Pelodiscus sinensis: one gene and its partners. The protein of the gene in region 1 interacts with the protein of each later gene in a pairwise test. Links are inferred from orthologs where the notes say so. Each region holds a gene or a part of one and is shown in the gene's direction. Other genes may lie near its edges.

Region 1 (7,548 bases):
GTCCAAGAATAGATATTTTTAAATATATAAAACAACACCTCACTTTTTCCCTTCCTATCATTCCTGAGCAAGCTGTACCCTTCTAAACCAATATCCCAATCATGTGTATTATGCCACCAAGTCTCTGATACCAACAATATCATAGTTGTGTTTATTTACTAACATTTCAAGTTTTTCCTACTTATTCCCCATACTTCTTTCATTTGTATACAGCAGGGTTGGGCAATATAAAAACAGAAGCTTGCAGAGTTAGACCCTGGTGGGCTGCCACCGCCATGTTTACCTATGTCTCAATAGGTCTTGGAGGATTGCCACTCTGGGTGGCTGTGTATCACCATTCGTGGACAATGCAAGTGGCAGAAAGTGTTGCGGACCAGGACACCACTTCCCACTGCTTAGATTGGCTGCAAATGGCAACCCGTGGACAATGAGAGCTGCGATTCTCCGATACCTTTGGAGGTACAGATAAACATGGAGGTGGGGGGCTGCCATGGGCTAACTCTGGAGACTGGATCTGGCTCACGGGCTGAAATTTGCCCACCCCTGGTATACAGACCACTAAAGTATTGGGTTGATCCCCCTCCCCCCCCCGAGTTCTGCCTTGTTTCTCCTTTATCTCTGCTATTACAGATCATCTCCCTCTAGTTTCTGACCCTTCGTCACATTTTTCACTTTACCTGTGGACTTTGGTCATCTGCTCTAGAACCTAGTTTAAAGCCCTGCTCGTCTTGTCTGCGTCACTGATTTCAGTGATAGTGAGGCATCTAGATACCACTGAGGAGTTTTCTGCATGAAATCAAGAGCAATTGTTAAGTCCAGGGGCGGATATAGGGCAGGGTGAACGGGGCGGCCTCCCCGGGCCCCGCGCTTCAGAAAGCCCCGCGCATGCGCCGTGGCACCGCTGCGCATGCGCATGGCGTCACTGTGCATGCGCCATGGCAAAGGGGGTCCCTGCGGAATTATGCTGCCCGGGGCCCCGCAAAACGGTCATCTGCCCCTGGTTAAGTCACGAATGGAAAGACATCAATACATGTTATCCGGGATATGTGACAAATATAATTGCATAGATAACCGATACTTTACTAATAAAAACCACTGACTCAAAAGGCATTGTCATTTAGATGCAGAAGAAGAAATACAGAGCTGTGTACAGTATATAGCAAATCTAGGACCTGATTCTGGAAAGAATAACACTAGTAAGATGTTCAGAAGGTTATCTTCAGTTGCAGTCATATAATACTGTTGTAAAGGTATCAGCTCTTATAAATTAAGGCAGTCTGGAGAGGTTCATTTGATGGATGGGAGATTACAATGATGTAGTAGCAATTCAGCACTATTTTCTCTCAGCATGGTATTAAGACGATGCCGCTACTAGAAATGGCAATTTTTGGATGAAAGATCATACTGAGCTGGGGTCACAATGAAAGAAAAGGTGATAGTACTTTGCCCTCAACACCAGAGTTGCTAAATGTTTCTGCCAAAATCAGCGGAAAAAGAGTTAACAACATTGATATTTAAATTGTAATTATTAGCATTCAGCATTAATACCCCTTTCAGGTAAAGGAGGAAACCCACATCTCTCTTAAAGCTAGTGTCCCTATCAGTGTTCCTTCTAATTTTTTCCATCCACATGCAGAATAAATTTTGTTTGTGCGCCAAAGCATGCACAATGTGCACCACCACTAGAAACACATACTGCCAGATATGGGAAGTGGTGGGTGCTCTGCTAATCAGCTGGGCAGCATCTGAATCTCTCCTAAGTGGCAACCTGAGAGGTCAGCTTATGAGGAACACTGGTCCCAATCTATAGACCCAACATTGCAACAGTTCAAATTCTGAAGATTGTCTCAGCCTTCTTAATTTAAAAGGGGAGCAAAAATGATAGAGAAACACAGGGGCGGATGAAAGTTTTGTGGGGCCCAGAGTGCAGGCGGGGCCTATTGAACTGCGGGGCCCGGGGCAGCATAATTTTGCGCATGCGCCACGGCCACATTCGACAGGTAGTAGCACGTGTACGGGGCCTATTGAAGCCCGGGGCAGCTGCTCCACTCGCCCTGCCCTATATCTGCCGCTGGAGAAACGTATGGGGTCACTAGAAAAGTGACGGTATAGCATACCAATGCATAAAAACTCAGTCTGAGCCCTGAAATGAGGTGCTATCATTTGGGATCTTTGACACAAAACAGTCAAGGTATCAAGTGAGAAGAGCTGCAAGTATAGAACTTACTTACTTTCAAACCGATACACTCACTTTATAAGCAAACACCACGTTTTCCTTCAAATTGAGCAACTTGAAGCATGCAAAAAACTAATCAGAGACACTGCAGGTGAAATGCAGCTCTGTGTAGAGGATCGGCACAAGGCTTGATTCCCATGAATAGCTCCTTTTTTAAGGGGTTAAGTAGGAATTAGGAAATCAGTGGTCACCAACCAGTGAATCGGGATCTACTGGTAGATCTTGGGGCCTCTGACAGGTGATCCTGACTGCTTTGGCCACACGGCTATCAAGTGCCAGCACGTCAGCTGTTCCTCCTCCAACTGCTGCACAACTCCGGCCCTTTGCCTTGGAGCTGTTCCCCCAGGAGCCTCCTGCTTTCTATGCAGGGCAGGGAGAGGAGGTGGCACTGATGTCAATCTGCCCCTTCTCCCACTCTTTATCCTATCTCCACAGAATGGAGGGGGGGCACAACAGGATTTGGGATATAATTTGCTGGCTGCTTTTGGGAGTGGTGCAGGGCCAGGGCAGGGGGAAGCCTGGCTTAGCCCCACTGCATCACCACCCAAGAGACATCTGAGGTAAACAGTGCCCAGCTGGAGCCCACATCCCGAAACCCTACCCCAGTCATGAACCCCCTCCTGCACCCCAAGCCCTTGCCCTAATCCTGAGCCCCAATGCATCTAAACACCCTCCCAGAGCCTGAACCTAGAACCCCTCCTCCGCCCCAACTGCCTAGCCCAAGCTCAGCTCAGAGTCCCTCAAGCTCCAAATCCCGTAACCCAAGACCAGAACCTGTACCCCAACCCTCTAGCCTGGCCTGGTACAAGTGAATGAGGATGGGGGAGGGAGGATGGAGTGAGCAGGGGTGAGGCCTCAGGGAGAGCGGGGCAAGGAGCACAAAGGAGGCGGGGCAAGGGTGTTTGGGTTTGAGGTAGATCTTGAATTGCACTTAAATTCAAAACGTGATCTTATGCTTAAAAAGTTTGGAGACCCCTGACTTAGGTGGTCCAGAACCCTGCTTCAGGCACCGTACAACAGTGAATTTCACCCAATAGTCTGTTGTGGCCTTACAAAATAAGGGCATGTGCCATGTATGCCAGCTTTGCATCAGGGCACCTTAAGGAGATCTTTGCAGATTTGCAGCAAGATAACAGCAACATTTGCTTCTAATTTGAAAATGAATACAGACACTCTTAGACAAAATACTGAGGTTGGCTGCATCATTCATTTGGAAGTACTTCCTCTCTGACTTAAACAATAAGAGGAAATGCCAGGGGACTATGCAGAATGAGCGTGGACACACTAGCAGTTAGTTCATAATTCATTACTTGGGAGGATCACAGCAGGAGCGAGAAAAAGAAAGGAGGAAACTAAAAAATAACACAAGGTACAGAATTTTCCGTTGTGGGACTGCATGGTCAGTGAAACACAACAGATATTTATGAAGCTGCAATAACTTCATTGTCCTTTTAAGCACAAAACTATGCCAGTTAAAGAAAGGAAACAGGTGAATAATTTGAATGGCATTCAAGACCTGCAGTTAATGCTCATTCTGTGGCTTGTTTGCAAGCTACAGAGTATTACATATTTCAATTTCAGTGGATTTGTGTGTGGACTCATACATCACAAGGGCTACTGCAATCTAAATAATTTCTTATAATTATTATTAATAATATGGGGGCTATTCTTTAATCAGATGAGCAGTGCATTTACCTAGCTAGCAGCTGTTTTTTCTATTATTTTCAGCCCCCAGGTAGTCTGAAGTTGTATATATTGATATTTATATAAATTATTGCAATTAAAAATATAGATACAAGTTAATTACTTTTACCATAATGCTTTCTAGAGTCTGATCTTGCCTTCCATTGAAATAAATGGCAGTAATTCTACTGACTGAAGTGGGAGCAGGGTTGTGCCATTTAAACTTTTATGAAGAAGATAACAGATATTTAAACTTAACTAGGTCAGTGCATACCTGCCTGTCACAGAGAGGGAGAGGGAGAGGCAGAGAGAGAAAGAGAGAGAGGGACTATGCACCCTACATAAGGTACAAAAAATATTGCTTATTCTTGACTCACAACCTTGCAAAACATCATATTTAGATTCGCTGATGGACACATCAGATGCTTTTAATAATATCTGCACAGAGTTCTCTGTTTTTAAGGGGGCATTCCATGTCTGTTTAAAATACATCAAGCCTGGGAACCCCACAAACTTTTGGAGTCATTTTTTTCAGTGTATGACATTCATCCTGGTGACACTTAAGTAGTGTGAAGCTGAAGGACAGATCTATATTTGTCATTCTTGCTCACAGCTGACATGTCATTTGAGAAACTGTTTAGAATTACTTTAATAAGTTTTCCAGCTGCAGTCACAGGAAACTGGCAGGGAATTACCTTCATGTGAATTCATTTGTGCTAGGAAAAATAGATGTAAAGTTTGGTTCATCTGGGTTATAAGAAGAATGTATGGATTCTTAAGATAAGGCAAGTTTTTAGGCAGTATGAGTTGATTTTATGTGTTTTGGATTATTGAACCTCAAGGGCTCAAGACATACTGCATTATAATTGTATCTATGTTTGTAAATTAAACATACCACATAATCCCGACTCTTTTTTTGGCAGGAGTGTTCCAAACACATTTAATTATACTTGTTTTAATTTCTGTAATTGAATTACAATATTCTAGGCAAAATACTTGATATTTCATTTTTTGATTTAGTAGCAGATAATTTATAGTGTGTAAAACAGAATTTTTGGTTGTTAAATTATGAAAGAGTTAGACTTTTTTTCAATATGTTTCAAGACTATTGTCCTGTTTAATGTTTTAATATTTCATGACACTCGGGATATAAACATGATATATTTTATTGCCTGTGGCATATATATTTTCTGCCTTTTATCAATATTTTTAGTTACAGCAAAATGTGTTAAGTCTAAATTCCACTTTCATATTTTCAGTGACTGTGTGTTTGTGTGTAAAAGCAGAAGGCTAGACTGAGTTCTCAGTTACACAAATATAACTCTGGAGGATGGAATGTTTTTCACAAAATTTCTTGCAGTTCACCTCTATTTGATGTCTGTTAAACCAAGAGGCCAGTGAGCCTATCATCTTGCTGGAAATTGGCTGTTTGTTCCTGATACGTTTGAAAAGGTAAAAAAATGAGAAAATATTCTTAATACAATGTTGTTAGCTTAACAATTAACTGCCAGGAAATCAATAAAATCACAGAAAAAATGTGACCGGATAGGAACTAACAGAAACAGCAAGAGCTTTAAATGGCAATTTGGAAACCACACCAATGGTTACAACGTCTAAAATGGCTTCAATATGCTTAGTGATGACCGACAGTTTTGATTCTGTGAGAGAAAGAAACCCACATTGTCATTTAGAAGCCTTAAAATGTGACTAAATAGAGACTATAACTATGATGTATGTTCATTAACACACAATTGAAATACTTGAACTAATACTTGAAGTACTTCTATGACCCCTTTAACCATAGTAATAAAATTTTGGATACAAAACCAAAAGTAGTTATGCACTCAATAGGCATGATCTCATTAGCGCTGATAAGCTGTATGGTATCATACTGAATTTTCCAGTCTGACAGTGCACACCAAATGTTCGCTGAATATTAACATAAATTCTTATTCTGGCATTAATTGGCTTGCTAGAAGGGCTGAGAGTAGGGACTGTTCAATAAAAGGTGAGCGGACTTTTGCAAAACTCAGGAGTGAGTGAGGTAGAGTTCATTTCTTCAGTAAAACTTCATGCATTTATGCCATGATGAAATATATGTACTGTACATTCCAGCTTCAGTAATTGGGAGTCTCCATGCCTGTACATGAATATACAGAGAGTAGTTAGATACACACATAGGAATCTATACATATGTATTGAGAAAATTATGCTTAAATTACATGCAATTCCCCCTCCTCCCAAAAAACCCTATTTTAAAATAACATTATTAAGGTTGTAAAGCCAAGCATTGAAAAGCCATCCTCTGAGTCAGAGTGGGAAATAATTTTTGGTGCGGGGCCACTCCAAGATTTTGGAAACTGGTCAAGGGCCGCACTTTTCTGTAGAGGGGATGCAGGGTCTAGGATGAAGGTTGGGTGCAGAAGGGTACCCGGGGTAAGGGAATGGGGTGCAGGAGACAGTGTGAGGTCTGAGAGGGAGTTCGGGTGAAGGAGGGAGTTGTAACTAAGGATGTTAAGAAGTGGGTAATTAACTAATTGTGTATTTAATACAACTTGTATTGAGTACACAGTTAGTCGATAAAAGGCCCTGCTGCAGCTCTGTAGTTGAAACGTAGTAGGAGCCGTGCACACAGGCAGCCTGGCTCCTAGTACATTTACACTACAAAGCTGCAGTGGGGATAGGTCCAGGGGCAGCGCATGAGTATAGGCAGACTCGGCGGTTGCCTAGGGCGCTGGCTTTAATGGGGCGCCTGGGGCGCCTGATGATGACGTCACAGGGCGCCCGGAGCACCCGATGATGATATCACACCATTGATGGCCATGCAGGAGGGGGCGCCGATCCCGCATTCTGCCTGGGGCACCAGCTGCTGCTGCCGGCCTCGGGCCGCTCCTGGGTAGGTCCCAGACCTGGTGTGAGCTAGAACTGCTGAGTCCCGGCTCGCGTTGGATCCCGGACCTACTCTGCTGCGGCTCAGCCTTTTAAATGCAGTAAGAGCCGCCTGTGGTAGGCCTTACTACATTCTTTCACATTCCCATCTGTGTGATCGTTACTAGAAGTTTATGACTTTAAAAAAAACAGGTAGAGCGAGCCTGTGCAGACTGGGCTCTCTGTAGTACTTATTTGGTCATGTCTGTCCCTAGATAGGGAAATATTTAGGACACCAACATGAGACCTTCATCCTGAGTTTGGGTGTGGAACAGGGTTGGGCAATAATTTTTGATGGGGGGCCACTCCAAGATTTTGCAATGTGGTCAAGGGCTGCACTTTTCTGTGGAGGAGATGTGGGCTCTAGGATGGAGGCTGGGTGCAGAGGGTGCCTGGGGTAAGGAGCTGGGGGGCAGGAGTTGCAGCGAGGTCTGAGGGGGAGTTTGGGTGGAGGGGGAAGTGACCTGGATCAGGGGATTGGGGTGCAGGGTCTAGGAGGGTGTTTGGGTGCAGGAGAGGATTCTGGCCTGGGGGACGGGGTATAACAGGGGATACAGGGTTTGGGAGGGGGTTGTGACTTGGGACAGGGATTGCAGAGGGTTTGGATGGTGACTGGGGGAGGGAGTGGGGTGCAGGAGAGGCACAGGTGCCAGAGTCAGGCTTTGGCTGGAACTCTAAATGTCGCCTGGCCAACAGCCCTG
Region 2 (7,006 bases), on another chromosome or scaffold:
AGCCGTGCGGGGGTGGGGCAGGGTGTCACAGAGGCGGGGTGCACAGGGCCTGGGGAGCTGTGCGGGGGTGGGGCAGGGTGTCACAGAGGTGGGGTGCACAGGGCCTGGGGAGCCGCGCGGGGGTGGGACAGGGTGTCACAGAGGCGGGGTGCACAGGGCCTGGGGAGCCGTGCGGGGGAGGGGCAGGGTGTCTCAGAGGTGGGGTGCACAGGGCCTGGGGAGCCGTGCGGGGGTGGGGCAGGGTGTCACAGAGGCGGGGTGCACAGGGCCTGGGGAGCTGTGAAGGGCTGGGGGGAAGGGCTGTCACAGAGGCGGGGTGCACAGGGCCTGGGGAGCTGTGAAGGGCTGGGGGGAAGGGCTGTCACAGAGGCGGGGTGCACAGGGCCTGGGGAGCCCAGTGGCGTTTGGAATACGGGGTGTCACAGAGGTGGGTTTCATGGGAAGGAGGCTGGGGGAACGGTGGCCCTCTTGTCTTATGAGAGGCCATGGTGAGGGGGATGGCAGAGGGAGCCAGGTGGGGGGTGACGTCTGGCTCTGAGGCAGGGTGGGGCCGGGTGGTAAGACCTGGGGTGCCTGACTGAGGTGGGGGAAGCTGCTGCACCGAGCACCAGCACGTTGTGACACAAGGGCCCACCCTGAAACATGCGTCTCCGGCTGCAGGGATGCAGCCACGTCAGCCTGGCTGGGCTGAGAGCATAAGCCTGGGAGCAGGCCGGGCCTTGTGGCAACCCAGCTCATGACTCAGCCCGTCGGCATGTGGGCGCTTCTCTCCCCCCCAGCCACTGCACTCACAGGGAGACCCCCCCCCGGCCCGGCTTGGATCCCTTCTGCTCTAGGAATATCAGTGGCACCATATCCAGTCCCATGCATTCCAGGGCTGCAGTACTACTGCGCTTATGGTAAAGGGACCACTATTAGGAGAATTATGGGACCGGGTCATTGGCATATAACTCACAGCAGCTGCTAGCATAGTCCCTGCCTGTAGTCAGTGTGTGCTCGCTGTTTGGGAGCTGAGCTGCAGGTAAGGGTAGAGCATTACATACCCTTGGTAGGAAAACAAGGGTATGTGTGGGGAAGGCGTGTGCCCCATGGGATGTCTGGGGTCCTGTTTGCATTGACCAGCAGGGCCTCCCTTTTTTTTCTACCAATAGTGAAGAAATTAAGCTAAGCTTCCATCTTCCAGTGACTTTTTTTCAGGCAGAGCTGGTGCTATGCATAAGCAGACTGAGCACTTGCTTGAACCTACCTGGGAATCCTGCATCGATTATTAGTATGTGTTGAGGAGGGCCAGGAATATTCCTGCTGCGTGCCTCCAAAGGGCTAATGCTGGCACTGTGTTAAGCTGTCCCATTAGACCGCATCTCCTAAATGCAGGCGCTACTGTTTGTCTTCATGGCCTCTGGCTACTTTACAATCCACCTGGCAGCATGTGCAACAAACCCAGCTGGAACAAGCTTTGCAAACTACAGCTTCTTGAACGCTTGCAGCAGGTTCTCAAATCCAAATCTGTTCTTGGGCCTGCTACGTTTGCTCTTGGTACCACCATCCTCTAACTATCAAGAGGTTTTTTTCTCTCAATACATTTCCTTGTTTTATATAGTCTCTTCCCTCTCCCCTTCCAAAGGCAGGTCAAATGGTTGTGTAGGAAGGCAGCTGTGTGACCGAGTAATGAGGATTAGGTGCACAATTAGCACACACAATTTGTGGGTCTTCTGAGATTCATTCCTCCTCTCCTTTACAGCCCACCTGCCGGATAGATGGCTTTGAGCCTGGCCCCCACCTGTCTCTTGGGGAAAGTGCAAATTCATCCCTGTGTGTCTGCTGTCTCTGGAGAGGAGAGTCTGATGCATGTGCCCTTTTGTCCCCGATGGGTGCTGGCCTTTAGGACGGCATGTAGGTTGCTTTGCAGGCTGGCATGCCCTGGTGGGCTTGCTCCCTTGTTCGGGGTCTTGTAACAGCCAGCACAGCCGCTTCATCCCTGTGTGACCATCTGCCTGTTAATGCCACGAGGAAAACACGGAGGGATCCTCTCTGAGGTACAGCAGCTGCAAGGGCTGGTCTCCCCGCAGCTGGCAGGAGCAGGAGGTTAATGAGGCTTTTTGCAGGCAAAAAACAATTCTCACAGAACGTGCAGGCCAGTCTCTACAACACCAGAAAGCAGGGGGCAAAGGATCTGGAGTCACAGGCAGTAGTCAAGGTATAAGATCCCCCTCCCCATTTTGCACCTTATCCTAGATGCAAGAAACCAGCCTCTGCTTTCCCCAGCCTCCTCATGGAGCTGTGACACTTTCTCTTGCCCAGTCTGTCCCCCAACGATTCACTAATTGCACTTGCAATGAGTGAGCTTGTTTCTGGAGAGGGCACTTGGTTACTGCATGGTGTCCTTTAGGGGCAGGCCCTGGGTTTGGTTGTAGGATCCTACAGACTGTGCTTACAGGTGTAAGTCTGCCACCTGTTGGCAATTGCTTGTTACTGCTGCCTCCTAGGTGGATTTGCACTCTGGGAAAGGGATGGCATTCCACTAAGGAGAGTAAAATCTGTCATCTGTGCTGCCATTTAGCTTGCTTTCCACTCTCCCTGCTGAGGAATCAGGATAGCTTGGACCTTGGATTTTATCTTCTTTCTGTACAGTCCCAATTTCTCTCTGCATTTCAAGTTCAGACGCTTTGACTCAATCTAGCCGGGCAGCTTTCTGTGGTTGACGCACCAGAGCTCCTGGTGCGCTTTGCCTCCTGGGGAGAAGAGGGCCAGAGTCAGTGAAAATAAGGATCCTTGTCCTAAACGCCCACCTGCTCTGGAAATACCAGTGTGCTTGGCGCTGCAGGACAGTCCTAACGAGCAGGGATTTCCCTAACCGCCCCCCCAAAGTTTCCCTAACACCCCCCCACTTTTGTGAACTATGGTGCCATACGGCCCACTGTCACCCTCACGGTCTCACCCCTCATCAACCCTGACACTGCCCCTTGTAAATTTGAACCCCCCCCCCCAATTTCAGTTCCTGGGGAGGCTACTGCTTACGAGTGAACTTTGAAACATTAGGGTTCACGGTAGTATCCCTTTGCCTTTAGACAAATACGTGGCAACCAAAACATTGGAGCAAGCGATAAACACAGTGACATGAAGGTATTTTATTTTCCATGCTGCCATAGCCTTCTGTGTTCTTGCCGCTTTGGTCTGCATACTTAGTCAATATAAGGAGTTGTATTGTCTATACAGGGTTGTTATAGGACAGAGGTGGGGAATACACAGCCCAAAGGCTGAATCCAGCCCCTGACTTGCCTGGATCCAGCCCCTGAGGCTCCTGTACCCTCCCCCTGCTTGGACCCCCACATCACAAACCTGCTTTCTGGCAGCCCCACACACTGAACCCCTCACTTTTGACCCCACCTCAGAGTGTAAGGGGCCCCACAACCGACTAGCCTGGGTCCCGCTAGGCTCCAGTGTGCGAGGAGAATGTCAGGGACCACATCAGTGACTTGGTTTTCGTAGTTGTTATGGTGATGTGTAGTTTTTTTTTTTTGCTTCTCACTTGGCCCCTGATTGGGTTTTTTTTTTCTTTCCTTTCTGTGCATCAGCATCCCCTGACCAAAGAGATTTCTCTCCTCTGCATTAGGAGGAGAAGTTGAGTATCTCTGGTATCCCGGGCTAGCTTCCAGGCTTCTGCTGGCCTGGCCAAGAAGAATACCAAAAAGTTCCAAAAAAGTATGTAGATCTTCATGTAACTAGCAGCAAGCCTTGGTTTTTCTACTTTTTCTAGAAGGAAAAGTAAATTCTCCTGAGAAATAGTTTTGTCCTTGGCAACCACACTGCTACTAGGCCCGTGTGAAGCCTTCCCTTGATTTCATTGGGGTTTGGATCAGGATTTGAGGGTTAAGCTCTAGGACTGTATCTGGCCTCCTCCAAGGTTATGTCCAAGACGCAGTCTTCAGGGCTTAAAAACCCAGCCGTTCCTTTAAGAGCCATGAGCTCACAATGGGGTAGGAACATTCCAAGACTTCCTGGGGGGACTTTGAAAGCCGTGGGAGAGGCGACTCTGGCCCCGCTGAGGCGGCCTGCTACCCCCGACTCCACCCGGAGGAGGAGGCTGACGATGAGCGAGGACAGCGAGTGGATCAGGACCATCCAGAACGAAAACACGTACCTGAAAAACCAGGTTAGGCTGCTCCGAGAGAACTATGAATTGCGTTCGTTACTGAATCAGCACTATGAGAACAGCAGCCAAGGGCGGTGTGTCCCTTCCCGCTCTGCGCCCGTGTATCCGAATGTCTGCTCCCCGGGCCAAGGAGGTAAGGAGAACCGGGAAGACCTAGATTGTTCTCGTGAATAGCGGCCCTCTAGCTCAGTGATCATCCTGGCTTAAGCGCCCCTAGAGGGCAGTTCCCACGGTGGCTGTATTTGAATCCACCCATTCGACTCTTGCAAGTTCTAAGTATTTAAACTCACGTGCTCTTTCCTAAGACGGGACTCTGCAGTAAGGCTACCTCAGCCCTGAAACCAATGCCAGCTCTCCCACACCTCCCCAGTCTCTTCTGCATGCTCCCCAGTGTCCCACCAACACTGTGGACTCTCAAAAGAACAGAAGAATGGCCATACTGGTTCAGACCAAAGGCCCATCTAGACCAGTATCCTGTCTGCCGACAGTGGCCAATTCTAGGTGCCCCAGAGGGAGTGAACACAACAGGTAATCCTCACGTGATCCCTCTCCTGTCACCCACCTCCAGACAAATAAAGGCTAGGGACACCATTCCTACCCATCCTGGCTAATAGCCGTTGATGGACCTTAACTCCATGACTCCATCTAGCTCTTTTTCGAACCTTGTTAAAGTTCTAGCCTTTACCACATCCTCTGGCAAGGAGTTCCAGTGCTTAACTATGCACTGAGAGAAGAAAAACTTTCCTTTCTTTGTTTTAAACGTAGAACACAAGAATAGCCATACCGGGTCAGACCAAAGGTCCATCTAGGCCAGTATCCTGTCTGCTGACAGTGGCCAGTGCCAGATGCTCCAGAGGGGGTGGACTGAAGACAATGATCAAGCAATCTGTCGCCTGCCATCCTTCTCCAGCCTCTGACAAACAGAGGCCAGGGACAACATTTCTATCCCCTGGCTAATAGCCTTTTATGGACCTAACGTCCATGAATTTATCTAGCTCTTTTTTTAAATTCTGATATAGTCCTAGCCTTCACAGCCTCCTCTGGCAAGGAGTTCCACAGGTTGACAGTGCACTGTGTGAAGAAGAACTTTCTTTTATTAGTTTTAAACCTTCTCCACATCTTTCTTGAAATGTGGCACCCAGAACTGGACACAATACTCCAACTGAGGCCTAATCAGCGCAGAGTAGAGTGGAAGAATGACTTCTCCTGTCTTGCTCACAACACTCCTGTTAATACATCCTAGAATCATGTTTGCTTTTTTGGCAACAGTGTCACACTGACTCATATTTAGCTTGTGGTCCACTATAACTCTTAGATCCCTTTCTGCTGTACTCCTTCCTATATCGTCACTTCCCATTCTGTATGTGTGAAACTGATTGTTCCTTCCTAAGTGGAGCACTTTGCATTTGTCCTTATTAAACTTCATCCTATTTACCTCACACCAGTTCTCCAATTTGTCCAGGTGATTTTAAATTATGACCATATCCTCCAAAGCAGTTGCAACCCCTCCCAACTTGGTATCATCTGCAAACTTAAGTGTACTCTCTCTGCCAATATCTAAATCGTCGATGAAGATATTGAGCAGAACCGGTCCCAAAACAGACCCCTGCAGAACCCCGTTTGTTACTCCTTTCCAGAAAGATTGTGAACCATTAATAACTATTCTCTGGGAACTGTTACCCAGCCAGTTATGCACCCACCTTATAGTACCCTCATCTAAGTTGGATTTGCCTAGTTATATTGATATCATGCAAGACCGTATCAAATGCCTTAATAAAATCTAAGTATACCACATCCACCGCTTCTCCCGTATCCACAAGACTCGCTATTCTATAAAAGAAAGCTATCCGATTGGTTTGACATGAATTGGTCTTTACAAATCCATGTTGGCTGTTCCCTATCACTTTATTATCTTCCACGTGTTTGCAGATGATTTCCTTAATTACTTGCTCCATTCTCTTCCCTGGCACAGAAGTTAAACTGACTGATCTGTAGTTTCCTGGGTTGTTTTTATTTCCCTTTTTATAGATATGCACTATATTTGCCCTTCTCCAATCTTCTGGAATCTCTCCTGTCTCCCATGATTTTCCAAAGATGATAGCTAAAGGCTAAGATACCTCTTCTATCAGCTCCTTGAATATTCTAGGATGCATTTCATCAGGCCCTGGTGACTTGCAGACATCCAACTTTTCTAAGTGATTTTTTTAAACTTGGGGGAGGAGGGGTGTGGGTTTGTGTGGTCTTTTAAAAAAAAAAAAAATCTTCTAAACCTACCCCCTTCCCACTAGTATTCACTATGTCAGGCATTCCTTCATCAGACTTCTCGTGAAAACCAAAACAAGAGTCATTAAGCATCTCTGCCGTTTCCTGTTACTTTTTCCCCCTCCACACTGAGCAATGGGCCTACCCTGTCCTTGGTCGTCTTCTTGCTTCTAATATATTTATAGAATGTCATCTTGTTTCCCTTTTTAATCTCTCTTCATATGGTACCTGTTCCAAACCCTTCATCGGGGGCGGGTATAGGGAAGGGCGAACGGGGTGGCTGCCCTGGGCCCCGCGCTTAAAGCCCCGCGCATGCGCCGTAGCAAAGGGGGGGGCCCCCGCGGAGTTATGCTGCCCGGGGCCCCGCAAAACAGTCATCTGCCCCTGCCCCTCATCACTTCTGCTGCCCTTTTCTGAACCTTTTCCCATGCCAAGGTATCTTTTTTGAGATGAGGTGACTACATCTGTACGCAGTATTCAAGATGTGGGTGTGCCGTGGTTTCATATAGAGGCAATAGGATTTTTTTTTGTCTTCTCTATCCCTTTTTAAAGGATTCCTAACATTCTCTTTTTTTTTTTTTTTTTTTTGAC
Region 3 (7,039 bases), on another chromosome or scaffold:
GGGGTACGAGGAGCAATGTTGGTTCTCAGTCTCTTGAGTTCAAGCCAGGGTTGCCAACAGTCAGTAAATTTATGGGCAGCCCATAAAAGGAGCTAAAATTGGACCTGTCTGTAAAACATTTCCATGTCAATAAAAACCCACTGAGCTTCCTCCCACTTGGCTCTGGGGCAAGCTCCGCAGGGCAGCTCCGTAGACTCTACAGTTCCTGGGGCAGGGGGGAATTCTCCTGGTGGGGGCTGCTCTTCTTCACCTGTGGTGACCAGCTTTGAGCTCTTTGGTGTCACCAACCCTCATGCTCCTGCTGCAGCCCATCATTCAGCCTTTTCAGCCGTAGCCCCCTCCCCACCCCCATCCCGAGATGTGAAGTAGGTAAAACCTGAAGAAAAGTCTGTTTTCCTCACCCCTTTTGAATTTTGCCTGTGCCCAGAAGAGTCCCAAAAGGGTCACCTGCCTTGCCCGAAAGCTTTCAGAACTTGGAGGATGCGAATGTGGGTAGTAAATAGGTTAAACTAGCATAATAACATTGCTGCTGTGATGTCTGAATAAAAACATTGACTAGTGTTCCCTTTTGTCGTATCTTTATATAGTGTAAGAATGCGTCCGTAAAAAAGTTTCAGTAACTTTTTTTCCATGTTGTCCACAAAAATACTTTTAAGCAGATGGCAATCCTGGTTCAGGCTCAACACAACCCCTGCTGGATCGCTTGATAGCTTTGTTCACAGCTAATGTGTAAACTGAGGTAACCTACATTCCTTTGTCTAGGGCAGATCTGTTTTATCACCTTTGCCTAGGCCAGGCTGTCATCTTGTTCTAGTGACATTGTACAGTAGGCATGTAGAGCTTCACATAAGAAGTTAACACATGCATTTTACACTGATATTAATGAGCCGTGTGCTACAGGTTGAACCTCTAAAATCCATGTCTCTCTGGTCTGGCAGGACCACAAATATTGCTGGGCCATATTACCCTGTTTGGCCAGGTTCAGGAGCAGTGGTGGGGAGCGCCAGCCATGGGCTGGGGCAGGCAGCAGCAAACTGTGCTTCAGGACCACTACGGTCCTGAGAGTGTCCGACTAGGGAGATCCCACCTGTATTAGTTTTAGGTGCTGTCTTGTAAAGGCATATGTTTAAAAAAACGTTTTGCAGTAGTGTGTAGGGTGTGAACACAGCAGTGCGTACAGACAGTTACAGTGTCTTACTATATAGTTTAGAAATGTGCCTCTCTCTGTCCGTCCATCTGTGTGTCTGTTTGTTCAAGAACTCCTCCTAAACAGTAAGAGCTAGGAACATCAGCTTCCTCTTACCTTCACCCCGATCCCCTGCCCCAGGTCAGAATCCCATCCTGCCCTAGGTCTCAACCCAAACTCCTGCATCCCCTCCTACACATCAGTCCCCTGTCCCAGGTCACAACTGCCTCCTTCACCCAAACTCCCTCCCAGATCCCACACCTCCTCCATTAAAGTAATGGAAGAGTATAGCCTTTGACTACTTTCCAAAATTATTGCCCACCTCTGTTCTACTGTATAACCTAGCCACAAGATTTTAGAGAATTTTAACTACAAAAAGTATATTGCAGTTACTGCAGCTGTGGGTCAAAAAGTGAGTGCCTATATTTCTTAGGGATCCCACATTTAATTTTATCTCCACAACTAATAAATAGATTTTTTTTGTAAATTGCCAAGTTCATTCTTTACTCAAAGTGCTGTAGGCTTGCAGATGCTGTGCTGTGTTCTTCGTACATAAGTGTGGCCCTGCTTAAGGGCAAAACTCAAATACACTTTGACTATGAAATGTCTGAGGACACCTCCATAATGCCGCCATTAATTTATTTTTTGAATGTCAGATTTGTTCTTTTTGGAAAACTTACTAAAATGTGTTTGTCCAGAATACTTTACTTCTTCCAAATGCTTAGTCGTTTACAACGCTTGGTCCCTGTGTTGTGCTAGCAATAGACTGTTTCAATTGCTTGCATAAGTACCAATGTCATTAAGAAGTGTACAGAACATTTTCCTCTGTCGCTGTGTAAAGTGGTCTTCATTTCATCCTGCTTGAGTATGAGGGATTGTTTATACTACTACTTAACAGGGGGGAGGGATAGCTCAGTGGTTTGAGCATTGACCTGCTAAACCCAGGGTTGTGAGTTCAATCCTTGCAGAGGCCATTTAGGGATTTGGGGCAAAAATTCATCAGGGATGGTACTTGGTCCTGCTGTGAAGGCAGGGGACTGGACTCAATGACCTTGCAAGGTCCCTTCCAGTTCTAGGAGATAGGCAACCTCCATTATAAAAAAACTTACATTGCTCTGGGTTATGAAAAAGCCATGTAAATTACATCAACTTAGTATGGGGCAGACACCACTTTTATATGGATGTGAGACTCTCTCCCGCCAACACAGCTGTTTCTTCTTGTTGAGGTGGAGTAATTACGCTGAAGGGAAAGCGCTCTCCTGTTGGCGTGGTGTCCTTCACCAGACGTGCTGTAGTGCTGCGAGAGCCCAGTAGTGTAACTAGCCCATAGTCCTCTGCAGGCCATGGAGTCAAATGTCTCTTGTGTGTTACAGAGGAAGCCATTTCGACATATGGAAAAGAGAATGTGAAGATCTACAACACCTCTTTTACCCCCATGTATCACGCTGTAACGCAGAGGAAAACTAAGTGTGTCATGAAGCTGGTTTGTGCTGGCAAAGAAGAGAAGGTGAGCCAAATGAAATAAGTCATAGCTAAAATGTTAAGGAGAATGGAACAGCTTGTATTCTGCTGTTAGCTAAATCGGTGTGGCTAGCGAAAGGTAAAATAACTGGCCCACTGCCAGCAGGATCCTGATTAAACCAGCTAACCGATTACATGGGATTTTACATCCCTACCTCATCATTATTTGTGGCATATGAGGCTGAAGGGGTTCAGCTACGCCGCTCTAGTCTGACCTCATATATAACACAGGTCATAAAATTTCATCTGACTCCTCTTTTGGGCCTAATCAGTGTTTGACTAAAACATCTTTGAGACAGGCCCCCAGTCTTGAGTTGAGCATTTCAAGAGATGAAAAATCCTCTGCTTCCCTGGTAGTTTAATCTGTTCCACGCCCATGCTGATAGATTCCCTCTGGTTTTGCCAGCTGCAGGGGCACAAAGTTAAGATGGTGCTGCAGGGGTAATAGGGACTGTAACTTCGTATTTCCTAGTTTTCAAAGGTTTATATTTTGTCACTTCCCATATTCTGAAGCAAGCTGCTTTCCACAGGCTGGAAACACTACTGGGCGACCTTAACTCTTCACTAACTCCAAATGGGTAGATTTGTTTGAAAGGCTGTTGACTAGGTCAAAAGTAGCTTTTCTCTATGCCAATGAGTGATCAGGTTGATGGAGATTCTCTAGCTGGTTCAGTGATAACTGTCATTAAATGCTCATCTGTATTAAAGTAAGTTTCCTATTGTTTGAAGGTGGTGGGACTACACATGCAGGGACTAGGGTGCGATGAAATGCTGCAAGGTTTCGCTGTAGCAGTCAAAATGGGAGCAACAAAGGCCAGCTTTGATGAGACGGTTGCCATTCATCCAACTTCATCAGAGGAGCTGGTCACACTCCGTTGAAAGGTTGCGTATTTCTGAGGCTTGCAAACCAATCTGTAATACGGCAGCCAAAAACACTTGAAATAGGCTTGCGGAATCATAACTACTTTTCTTGGTGCCATTTAGACAAACTCTTTCTTTTCTGTGACACTCCAGATGATATTCAGATTCTTCTGTTTTTGTAATCTAGACATTTATAATGTGGGGAAAAAATCTGAGCGACGTCCAGTGGTGGTGGCATCTCTTCCTTTCATCCAAATAGCTTGGTTTCTTGAAGCTTCATTGGTTTAGACTGAAAAATAAATAAATAAAATAGTTTAAACTCTTTGGTTCTTGTTTGATTATCTCAGACCTCATAAGCTTATCTAAGCCCATGTTTTGACTGGCTAAGCTATCTGGTGCAAAAGAGATGTCTCAGTTTTCATTACTTTCACCATTGATTTTATCATGTGGGACATGTAGAATTGTCTTCCTCCTGTCTCGTTCAGCATGGCTCTGTGCACGCAGAAAAGCTCCTCTTGAATTATGATTGGCAGAAGGAATTTCAGGGTACGTCTACACTGCAGATGCCTGTGCCACTGACTCAGGGTTCAGAGGCTGTTGATTTACAGTGTCATCACTTGGGTTTATGCTCTAGGATCCTGTGAGGTGAGAGGGTCCCGGAGTGTGAGCTGCAGCACAAGTGCAAACATTAGCACTACAATTAAACAGTGCCTTAGCCTGAGCCCCAGTGAGCTGGCATGGGTCAGGGGCAGGTTATGTGCAGTGTGTACATACTCTCAGGGAGCAAATCTGGCCTTGTGGCTAAGGCACTTGACTGGAACTGAAATTCTAGGTTGTCAGTCTCTATGTAACCCTGGGCAAGTTACTTTCTTTGTCTCGCTCTCTGGCCATGTCTATACTTACCCATAGATTGATGCTCTGGAGGGCCATCTTCTGGCATTCGATTTAGTGGGTCTACTAAGGACCTGCTAAATCAAATGCCAAGGGGCTGCCCCCATTTATACTGGCACTCCTACTCCTTGGAAGGAGTAAGGAAAGATAATGTGAATGTTTCTCCCATCGACCTCCCGCCGTGGCAGTGGTGCCAAAGTTTGACGCAAGGTACTTAATGTAATTAACGTAGCTGAAGTTGCATATCTTAATTCGAACTTATCCCCTAGTGTAGACCTGACCTCTCTCTCTGCCCCAGCTCCCTAGCTGTGAAGTATGGATAGTAATGTCTTTGTCCTCATAGGCATCTGATCTTGGTTCAGTCCTCTCTATGTTCTTTTGGTGTAGAAGTGTGGTGTCGCCATAAATATGGTTGGGTTATAAATTAAGGCATAAATTCTTGTTTTTCTTTAAAAGTAGGTGGGCAGTTGGTACAAAGTGTTTTATTTTAAGCCTGCTGGTGGTGGAGACAGTAATATCAAATCTGCTGGGAAATCCCACAAAGAACCTTTTATCTGAGACAGTGACCAGGCCTGTAAATTGAAATCCCCGCAAGAACTATCCAGTTGCAGTTTGTGATTCCTGAGTTGGAAGTTGGAAGAACACCATGGAAACCTCATACTGGCTACTGCCTCTTGCATGAAGTATCATCTCCACACCACTGAGGCATGAGTTTTATGGGATGTGATTTGGAGTCCTGTCTTCCCACCTGTCGGGGGATTATGGTGGGGATGACTGGTGTGATGAAACACCCCCCCCCCCCCCCCGTGTTCGCACCCTATACATGTTGTACAAAATATGCCTTGTGAAGTTTCATTTGAAAACTAACAACTCACTGGTTGGTAATGTCACAGAGAAATGTGTGTAGTGATAGTAGATATACGATTTAAACAAAAGCTGAAATCATGACAGAATTGTGTTTACCAGGCAAGTCTGGGAGTGGATAAACTTGTTTCTCAAAGACAAAGGACAGACTCACAGCTTTGGCCTGGTGTCCTCTAAGCTGATGGGCCCTCACCAATCAAGTGGCAATTCTTTGGCAAGGGAGAAGGGTGGGGCAGGAGTGAACAGATCTGCACCTTAGCAAACAGCCATTCACCTCTTTCACTAGCAGACTCCTGGATTCCAACCTCACAATAGGAATGACTGTTAGGGATAACCCTCAAGAAAATGGATTTCAAAGAGAGATTGAACTATAAAAAGCGAGTGGAAGAACACACCCTATCCATCTCTTGCTCTCTCACGTGAGAAGACAAAAGAAATCAGCCTATTTGGAAGAGATCCTGACCTTGGTCAGCTTTGTTGCTGGACCCCTCTGGTAAGAATTTTATTTTGGACCAACTCTGTCCTAAGTTTTAGTCCTAGGAAGTGTTTTATCCTTATTTCTCTTGTATCCATGTCTGACTCTGACTTTAAGTGAATACAAGCATAGGGCATTAATCTTGTAGTTTAATACATTTGTTACATTCTTTAATTAAAATCAGCCCAATTTTAACTGTCCATTTATGGCAGGAAACTGTATGTTAATCCCCTTGCAAGAGTTGGGATTACAAAGGGTATGGCTCATCAACCCAGAGTTAGGGGTGGGGTCAGAGGTTTCCTTGGCCTGGGATTTGGATTGGGGTCAGTAGGAGTCTCCAGGCTACACATGGTAAGGCTCCCTGCCCGAGGGTTGGCCAAAAGGGAGGGTTATGGTAACATTTGCAACGGGGAGGGGTCCCTTGCCTAGGGCTAGGGTTACAAAGTAGAGGGCTCCCACTGGCTCCTGAGCCTGGGGCTAGAGTTTGGATCAGTAGGGTTCCTTGGCCTAGAGTGAAGGTTGCGCGCTCAACCCCAGGGTTACTGTTGGGGTCTGTAGGAGCCCCGGGCTAGAGTAGGATTGTCAGTACAGGTGGGGTGCTCTGGCCTATAGTGGGGTTTACAAAGGGTAGGGCCACTAGCCCTAACATTAGGCTTGTTGTTTGGGCTCCCTGCATTGTGGTAGGGAGCCCCTGTGCCTATGGATATGATTGTTGTCAGGACTCCCCAATGGAGGGTTTGAGTTCCAAAGGGTAGGTCCTCCAGTTGTGAGGTCACAGAGCACCTCCGCCCAGGGACTCCCCAGTCTAGGATTAGGGCTACAAAGCATAAAGTCCCATGGCCTGGGATTAGGGTTGGGGTGAGCAGGCGTCCTTGGTGTAGGTTTGGGTTGGGTCAGTACAAATCCCTGTCTTATGGTACAGGTTGGGTCATCAAATTTCCAAGCAGAAGGTTTGGTTAGAAATGGTAAGGCGACCCGCCCTTGGGTTTAGATTACAATGGGTAGGGTTCCTTCTCCTAATTTCAGGACTGGGGCCAACAGGGCTCCCCATGCTAGGGGTAGGGCTCCCTGGCCTAGAGCTAAGATTGGGGTCAGCAGGACTCCCTGCCTAGGTTCAGAGTTGGGGTTAGCAGGGCTCCCTCACATCGGGTTAGGGTTACACAGCATAGTGCCCCCAAGCAGGGTGAGGGTGAAGGTCAGAGAGTCCCTAGGGGTATGTAAGGGTTGGAGTTAGCAAGGCT
Region 4 (7,021 bases), on another chromosome or scaffold:
TGGACAGCAGGGACACGGACACACAGCAGGGCCTGTCCCCTCCAGCAGGGATGGACGGACAGACACACACACAGAATTCTGTGCTGGCTCCGCAGATAATCCCCCTTCTGACATTCCCCCCTTGCCAGGTCCCTGCCTCACGGCCCCTACCCCCCATCTCTCACGAGCCTCCTGACCTTTGCTCTTCCCTTCCCCCACTGCAGCATCCTCATGTTCTACCTGATGGCCCTGGCTAATTCCTACAGCCGCCTGGTGAAGGAACTCAAAGGGCAGCTCCGGCTGGTGAGTGACGTCAGGGCGCCTGTCCCCTCTAGGGTGGCTGGCTGGCTCAGAGAATGGGGCCCAGGGCCTTTCCCCTTTAGGGGCGTTGGCTCCCCTCTGGCCTCAGGGTGAGGACTGGCTGGCACAGAAGGGCGGAGATTGGGCCCCGGGGCTTTTCACTGCTGCGGGAGAGCCGGTTCCCGTCTCAAATCACCGTTAGCCGGTGGGACTCCCTGCTGCAAGATGATCTGCCTGGCAGGATGGGACACTGACAGGGATAAATGAGGAACAGTGTACGCCCCACTTCGGCCACTAGGGGCTGCCGTGGTACCTGCTCCGAAGTGGATGGGACGGGGCTGTGGCAGAGGCAGGATGCCAGGGTAGAGGGGCCCTCGGAGTGCCCTAGATGGCTGTACTTATTCTCTAGGACAGTGGTTCCCAAACTTTTCGGCATCACGCCCCCTTTTTGATTTTTGAAAAACCTTCACGCCCCCCCTCCCCCAAAAAATAACAGCAAAACTTGTTGAGCAAAAAAAAAAAAAAGGAACTGACCAGGGCAGCAAAACTTGATGGGGGGGGAGGAGGCTGGGTTGCCTCGCATCCCCCCTGGAATTTCTTCACCCCCCCCCAGGGGGGTACGCACCCCAGTTTGGGAACCCATGCCTAGGGTTTCCCCACTGCTTTTTAACCCTTTCTTCTCCCACAGGAGGGGCGGAATAAAGTTTTCTTAGTGACTCAGATCACAGAGCTGAGTTAAGGAGAGCGCAGCAGACGCCACGATTTCCCCTCCCGGAACAAGACAACTCCGCCAGCTGATTTGCGGAGGGTTCTTGACCTAACTTGTTGGACCATCCCTCCCCGGCCAGCGACACCGATTCCCTGTGCGCCGAGACTGCCCCCTGCTGGAGGGGAATGACAGAAACCCCCAAAGAGCCCAGAGCTTGTTTCTGTCCCCTCGCCCGACACGGCCCCTCTGAGGTGGTGCCCAAGGGCATTTATACAGAGACCTGGTGCTAAGAACCAGCTTCTCTTTACCACCAGCCAGCACCACTGTTCAGTTTCAGACAGGAAGTGAAGTAGAACCCGGCGCGTGACTGACATTCTTTCAGGAGAGGTGTTATTCCTTGTGTTTGAAATGAGCCCGGATTCCACACTCCATTCTCGTGTTCTCTTTCCCGCCCCGGGCTAGCCCCACATCCTCCAAACGGTGGACCCATGTGAATCTCCTGCCGCCAGCTGGCTGCAGAACTCCACTGGCGCAGTCCAGGGTAGCTGCGCTGGTATTCCCCAGCTACAAGACCTGATCCGTCTCCCCGTTTTGGCAGAGACCTGCGTCTCTCCCTCCCTGATTGGGGGTTTTCAGGCTGATTTCATCGTACACACACACCCAAACCCCAAAAGAGATACTGCTATTGACAATCATTGGCATTTACAACTAGGCCAAGCCCGAGAAACCCTGCGTGAGAACTTCCCAGCGTTTGATTTCAGGCCCCTTTCTAGGTGTATTTTGTGCCCCAATGATAACAATTTAACATCTTATAAAATTGTAACTTTTTGAGTCTCTCACACCTAATGTTATTAAATCACTGTGTGACGCCCACCCCCAACCTCCTGCCCCAGACATTTTTTAACCCTCTTCTGATTTTTCTGCAGCTGGGAAAAGTGGTGGGAAAAAGTTACAACGAAAGCACCATTTTTGGTTGAAATTAAAAAGTAAAAATAGAATGCTACTTGGTCAAAGGGTAAGTAATCAAGGTGGCCACGGGGGGGGGGGGGGGGGGGGGAGGCCTGGTGTGCAGGGCTCAGAAAAGGGCAACAAAAAGGATCGAGCATTTGGAATGGGTCCCATATAGAATCATAGAATCATAGGACTGGAAGGGACCTCGAGAGGTCATCGAGTCCAGCCCCCTGCCCTCAAGGCAGGATCAAGCTCCGTCTACACCATCCCTGACAGATGTCTATCTAACCTGTTCTTAAATATCTCCAGAAAGGGAGATTCCACCACCTCCCTTGGCAATTTATTCCAATATTTGACCACCCTGACAGTTAGGAATTTTTTCCTAATGTCCAATCTAAACCTCCCCTGCTGCACTTTAAGCCCATTACTCCTTGTCCTGTCCTCAGAAACCAAGAGGAACAAATTTTCTCCTTCCTCCTTGTGACACCCTTTTAGATATTTGAAAGCCGCTATCATGTCCCCCCTTAATCTTCTTTTTTCCAAACTAAACAAGCCCAGTTCATGAAGCCTGGCTTCATAGGTCATGTTCTCTAAACCTTTAATCATTCTTGTCGAAGAGAGATTGAAAAGACTGGGATTTGTCAACTTAGAAACGAGGAGACTAAGGGAGGATAAGGAGAGGTCTATAAAATTATGACTGGTGTGGAAAAAGTGAATAAGGAAAAGTCATTTACTTGTTCCCATAAGAACTAGGGGTCACCAAATGAAATGAATAGGTAGCAGGTTTAAAACAAACAAAAGGAAGTTTTTCTTCACCCAGTGCACAATCTGTGGAACTCCCTGTCTGAGGACAAGGTTCAACAACTAGGCAAATTTATGGAGATTAGGTAAATTTGCTCTCCCCCCTAGTCTCTGTCAGAAGCTGGGAATGAGTGACAAGGGAGGGCTCATTTGATGATTTCCTGTTTTGTTCATTCCCTCTGGGGCATCTGCCATTGGCCACTGTCGGCAGATAAGATCCTGGGCTAGATGGACCTTTGGTCTGACCCAGTGTGGCCGTTCTTACGTTCAGGGCTAGAGGCAAGTAGTGGTGGGTTTGTCCCATCCATCCTGCTACTTCCACTGTTTCAGCGAGTGCTTGGTCTCCTGCCCTAGGGATGTTAAAATGAATGTGTTTATTTAGGTAAACATGTAACCGCTTAAAGTTTCATGGAGGCAGGAGCTGGCTTGTGCGTGCTGCCTGTGAGCATTGGCTCCTGCATGCTTGACTCCCCCCCCCCCCCCCACCTTGCTGCTGCCTCTCTCAGAAGCAGCAGTGGGGTGGATGGAGGGAGGCAGGTGGATCTGTGGGAGCTGGTACGTGTGGGAAGCAGGCTTAAAAGCTGGCTCCCACCTCTCCCCCGACACTGCAGCCTCTGATAAAGAGGGGAAGGGGGGGGGGACTGGGTGTAACTGTGAAGGTTATCCAATGAGCCCACTGTTCACATCTCTGCCCTGCTCTCCCCCCGGCTGCAAGGGAGGCCGTGTGATTCTGTGCATGCTGGGTACCCAGGAAGGGCCATACGGTGTCAGACCAATGGCTGGTCACCTGGCAGCGTCGTGTGACCCGGCTGCTGCCAGAGCTGGGGTGCAGCGCAGGGGGTGGGGGTGAGGGGAGGCTCAGGCTGGTCTCCCCATTGGTGTTGGGGGAAGGGCGGGTCCTGCGGCGAGGAGTTCCGCTGGTTTGCAGATGGGGCTGGCACTGGGGGGCAGACAGAGAAGGGGGGAGGGGGCGGGGGAGGACAGAGATGGGGGAGGGGGCCGGGGTGTCTCACTCCTCTGGGGGGGCAACAGCTCCAGGGTGGGGGAGGGGAGGTGTGAAAATGGGGCCTTGGCCCGTCCAATGGGCTACAAGGGGCTGTGCCTGTGTCCAGCTTGGCCCAATCAGAGCTTGGCTGAGGGGCGTGGCTACAATAGGCCAATGAGAGAAGAGCTCGGGCGGGAGGTTGGATGGGGACCAATCAGGCAAAAGGGGCGGTGCTGCGTTGGGTCTCCAATCAGGGAGCGAGGGCGGGACTAGGACCCGCGAATCAGGATTCAGAGCGGGGGAAAGGGGGCGGCTCTGGAACGCGGAGCTGACCCGGAAGCTGAAGTGGCGCGGCGCCGGGCGGACCCGAGCGGGGACCATGAACATCCTGCCGAAGAAGTCGTGGCACGTGCGGAACAAGGACAATGTGGCCCGCGTGCGGCGGGACGAGGCGCAGGCGCAGGAGGAGCAGCGACAGCGGGAGGCTCGGGCGCTGCTGGCCGAACAGGAGGTGAATGACTGCGCATGCGCACGCCATCAAGCGGCCGCGAGTGCGCATGCGTGACAGTGAACACTCGTGCCATGGGGTCATGGGTTGAACTATTTTTAAGCGTCTGGGGGGGTAAGAACCTGGGTTAAACCATTTCCAAAAGGAGTGAAAACGAAACGGGAGCGGGGCTGAGCCATTTCTAAACGGCGTAGGGATAAAGAGGCAGGGAGCTCTGGGATTTACCGTTTTCAAATATGGGAGGGAAAGCAGAAGAAAGGGGAACTGGGCTGAACCATTTCCAAAGGCAGGGGGAGTGAAGCAGACCAGAAGGGAGCTGGGCTGAACCATTTCCAAAGGCAGGGGGAGTGAAGCAGACCAGAAGGGAGCTGGGCTGAACCATTTCCAAAGGCAGGGGGAGTGAAGCAGACCAGAAGGGAGCTGGGCTGAACCATTCCAATGGGGAGGGGGGGTTGAGCTAAACCATCTTCCATGGGGTAGGTCTCTAATCCCACATGCCTCAGTGGATGGGGGGCTGGCGTGGCAGATGCTGCACCAGTAACATCACTGGCCCCTGCCCACTCTGCCCTTGCCCCAGGTGAGGGGAGTGCGTTAGGCCTCAGCCCCACGGCCCCCCAGATCCCCTGCACTGAGCTCATGGCCACCCGGGCCCCCGCCACCCCCGGTGGAGCTGGCCCCACACCCAGCCCCCAATTCGCCCTGTAGGCACGGACCGAGTTCCTGAGGAAGAAGGCGCGGCTGTCTGCCCTGCCAGGGCCCGATGGCAGCTCGGCGCTGGTCCCCTGCGATGAGGAGCCGCGTCACGTCGACCTCTTCCGGGACCTGGAGGAGGGCAAGGGCTCCAAGGCCAGGAACAAGGAATATGAGGAGGAGAAGCGCAAGGAAAAGGTAAAGGGGGGGTGAGGTGGGGAGCAGCACCTGCATTCTCTGGGAGCTCCACCCTGGCTTACGTTGCCCCCGCATAGCTGCATTGATGGGTGGGGGGTCGTGCAATAGAGTAGCTACACCTGCCCTGTTACAGGAGCTGGGGTACAGCTGAGTTTCAGATCCTGGTGTCTTGGAGGAGAGGGGATGAGGGTGGGTATGAACACAGCTCCCTGTAGGAGGAAGAGGCTGTGTACAGAATTGAGGGCTCCCTCTTCCCCCACAACATGCTCTTACACCACTAGAAGGCAGTGCTGCTCCATGCCCTGCACGCTGGCTCCCCCCATCCACCGGTTCTCCATCCCGTTGGCTGCCCTCCAGTTCCTCTTCCCTCGCTGCAAACACTCAGTCTCACCCAGAGCCATGATCGGCCCCACCCTGCCCCCTTACAGATGAGGCTGCCCCCTCTTCTAGGCAATTCAGTTCTGCTTTGTCCCAACCAGGAGCGCCAGGAGAAGGCTATTGGGCTGCTGACCTATCTGGGGCAGAGCGCCGCTGAGGCGCAGACCAGCCGGCCATGGTACCAGGAAGCCCCTGACCGTAGCCTGGAGGCAGCAGCTGTGACCAAGCAGGAAAAGCTGAAGGGCATGCTGGACCCGCTGCGGGAGATGGAAAGTCACCTGCGCAAGAAGAAAGGGGAGGGGAAGAAGCGCAAGAAGGAGAAAGAGGGGCCAGCGGAGGAGAAAGTGGCAGTGGGGTGAGCTGGATACCGGCAGAGCTAGGTTTCAGTGACCTAGTAAGAGTAGCACCATAGAGGGGATTCAGGGACTAAGAGTCCCAGCATGCAATGCTGCAGGCCACAAGGACTACACTTACCAGCATGCAATTTACTTCCCTTGTTCCCAGCTGCAGGTATATTGGGAAGGAGGTGTGGAAATAGAAGCCTACATGTCCCAGCATGCATCACCTCTCTCCTGCAGAGAGAGAGAGAGAGAGAGAGAGAGAGAATTGCATGCTGGGAGTTGTAGTTCTCATGGACCATGCGGCCAGCTGGTAGCCCAGGGCTTAGAGGTCTATGGTTGCCTTCTGCTTGTCCTTGCAGCTCTGCCTCCCTCTCCCTGGAGCAGCTGCGGCGGGAGCGGCTGCGGCGGGAGCAGGCTGAGCGAGCCCGGGCGGAAGTCCTGCTGGCTGGGCGGCTGGGGGAGCCACAGCCCAAGGAAGAAGAGGAGGCGGATGACAGGAAACGTCGCTACAACTCCCAGTTCAATCCGCAGCTAGCGCGCAGGCCCCGTGCCTGGGACGAGAGGGAAAAGCACTGAGCTCTGGGGGCTGAACAGCAGGCCCTGGGCACAGTGGCCCCTGCACCAGGGCCACATGGCAGGCCCAGCAGGGACACGGGCATCACAGCACGGCAGCCGGTGGGATGTCCCAGCACTGACTGCTGCCCTCTTTGCCACCCCCAGGTCAGGAAGGTTGGCTGGGCCGGGGCCTTAAGAGCCAGAGCCCTTCTCACTTCTAAAGGAGGGTGCTGGCTGCTCTGCCAGGGTCCCATGTTAGACTCTCTCCCCCCTTAGCACCCAGTGTTAGCAGCAGCAGGTACCAGGGGCGACCTGAATGCCTCCAAGGCAGGGGCTCCGGTCACATTTACTCACAGGAGGGGGGTGCCTGGCCTGGCCTGGGTTCCGGCTGCAGCGGTGGAAGAACAGTGCAAAGCCTCAGAATCACTGTGCTCTAGGCCCGGCTTGTGGATTTAGTGGTTGGGGGGGCAAGGAAGTCTAGCTCCTGGCTCTGGGAGGGGAGCAGGGTGTAGTGGTTACAGGAAGGGGGCTGGGAGTCAGGACTCCTGGCTTTCAAGTTCCACTTCTGCCTCTGGTTTCTTATGTCCCCACCCCCAATGGTGCCCACCATGCAGTGTGGCTGCTGA

Evidence for each region.
Region 2: the proteins of FSD2 (region 1) and speriolin-like protein interact in binary tests that used the Homo sapiens proteins (3 or more experiments, as listed by UniProt). The two-hybrid records come from large-scale screens. The link is inferred for Pelodiscus sinensis from reciprocal best matches to the Homo sapiens genes FSD2 and SPATC1L.
Region 3: the proteins of FSD2 (region 1) and SH2D4A interact in binary tests that used the Homo sapiens proteins (3 or more experiments, as listed by UniProt). The two-hybrid records come from large-scale screens. The link is inferred for Pelodiscus sinensis from reciprocal best matches to the Homo sapiens genes FSD2 and SH2D4A.
Region 4: the proteins of FSD2 (region 1) and LENG1 interact in binary tests that used the Homo sapiens proteins (3 or more experiments, as listed by UniProt). The two-hybrid records come from large-scale screens. The link is inferred for Pelodiscus sinensis from reciprocal best matches to the Homo sapiens genes FSD2 and LENG1.

What each region holds. Positions count from the first base shown.
Region 1 is NC_134724.1:20,216,748-20,224,295, forward strand, and holds the start of FSD2 (fibronectin type III and SPRY domain-containing protein 2), read left to right. Parts: upstream 1-4,547; 5' UTR 4,548-4,704; intron 4,705-5,178; 5' UTR 5,179-5,371; intron 5,372-7,446; exon of another isoform or gene 7,447-7,548.
Region 2 is NC_134717.1:61,496,840-61,503,845, forward strand, and holds the start of speriolin-like protein, read left to right. Parts: upstream 1-3,993; 5' UTR 3,994-4,090; coding exon 4,091-4,286; intron 4,287-7,006.
Region 3 is NC_134715.1:4,803,769-4,810,807, reverse strand, and holds the start of SH2D4A (SH2 domain-containing protein 4A), read left to right. Parts: upstream 1-4,039; 5' UTR 4,040-7,039. Other genes in the region: GSR (glutathione reductase, mitochondrial), read left to right, coding at 2,560-2,693, 3,437-3,586. UniProt on the Homo sapiens protein: Inhibits estrogen-induced cell proliferation by competing with PLCG for binding to ESR1, blocking the effect of estrogen on PLCG and repressing estrogen-induced proliferation. May play a role in T-cell development and function.
Region 4 is NW_027465849.1:4,030,810-4,037,830, forward strand, and holds the start of LENG1 (leukocyte receptor cluster member 1), read left to right. Parts: upstream 1-4,019; 5' UTR 4,020-4,104; coding exon 4,105-4,236; intron 4,237-4,938; coding exon 4,939-5,121; intron 5,122-5,600; coding exon 5,601-5,854; intron 5,855-6,199; coding exon 6,200-6,416; 3' UTR 6,417-7,021. Other genes in the region: voltage-gated chloride channel TMC4, read left to right, coding at 204-282, 968-1,018.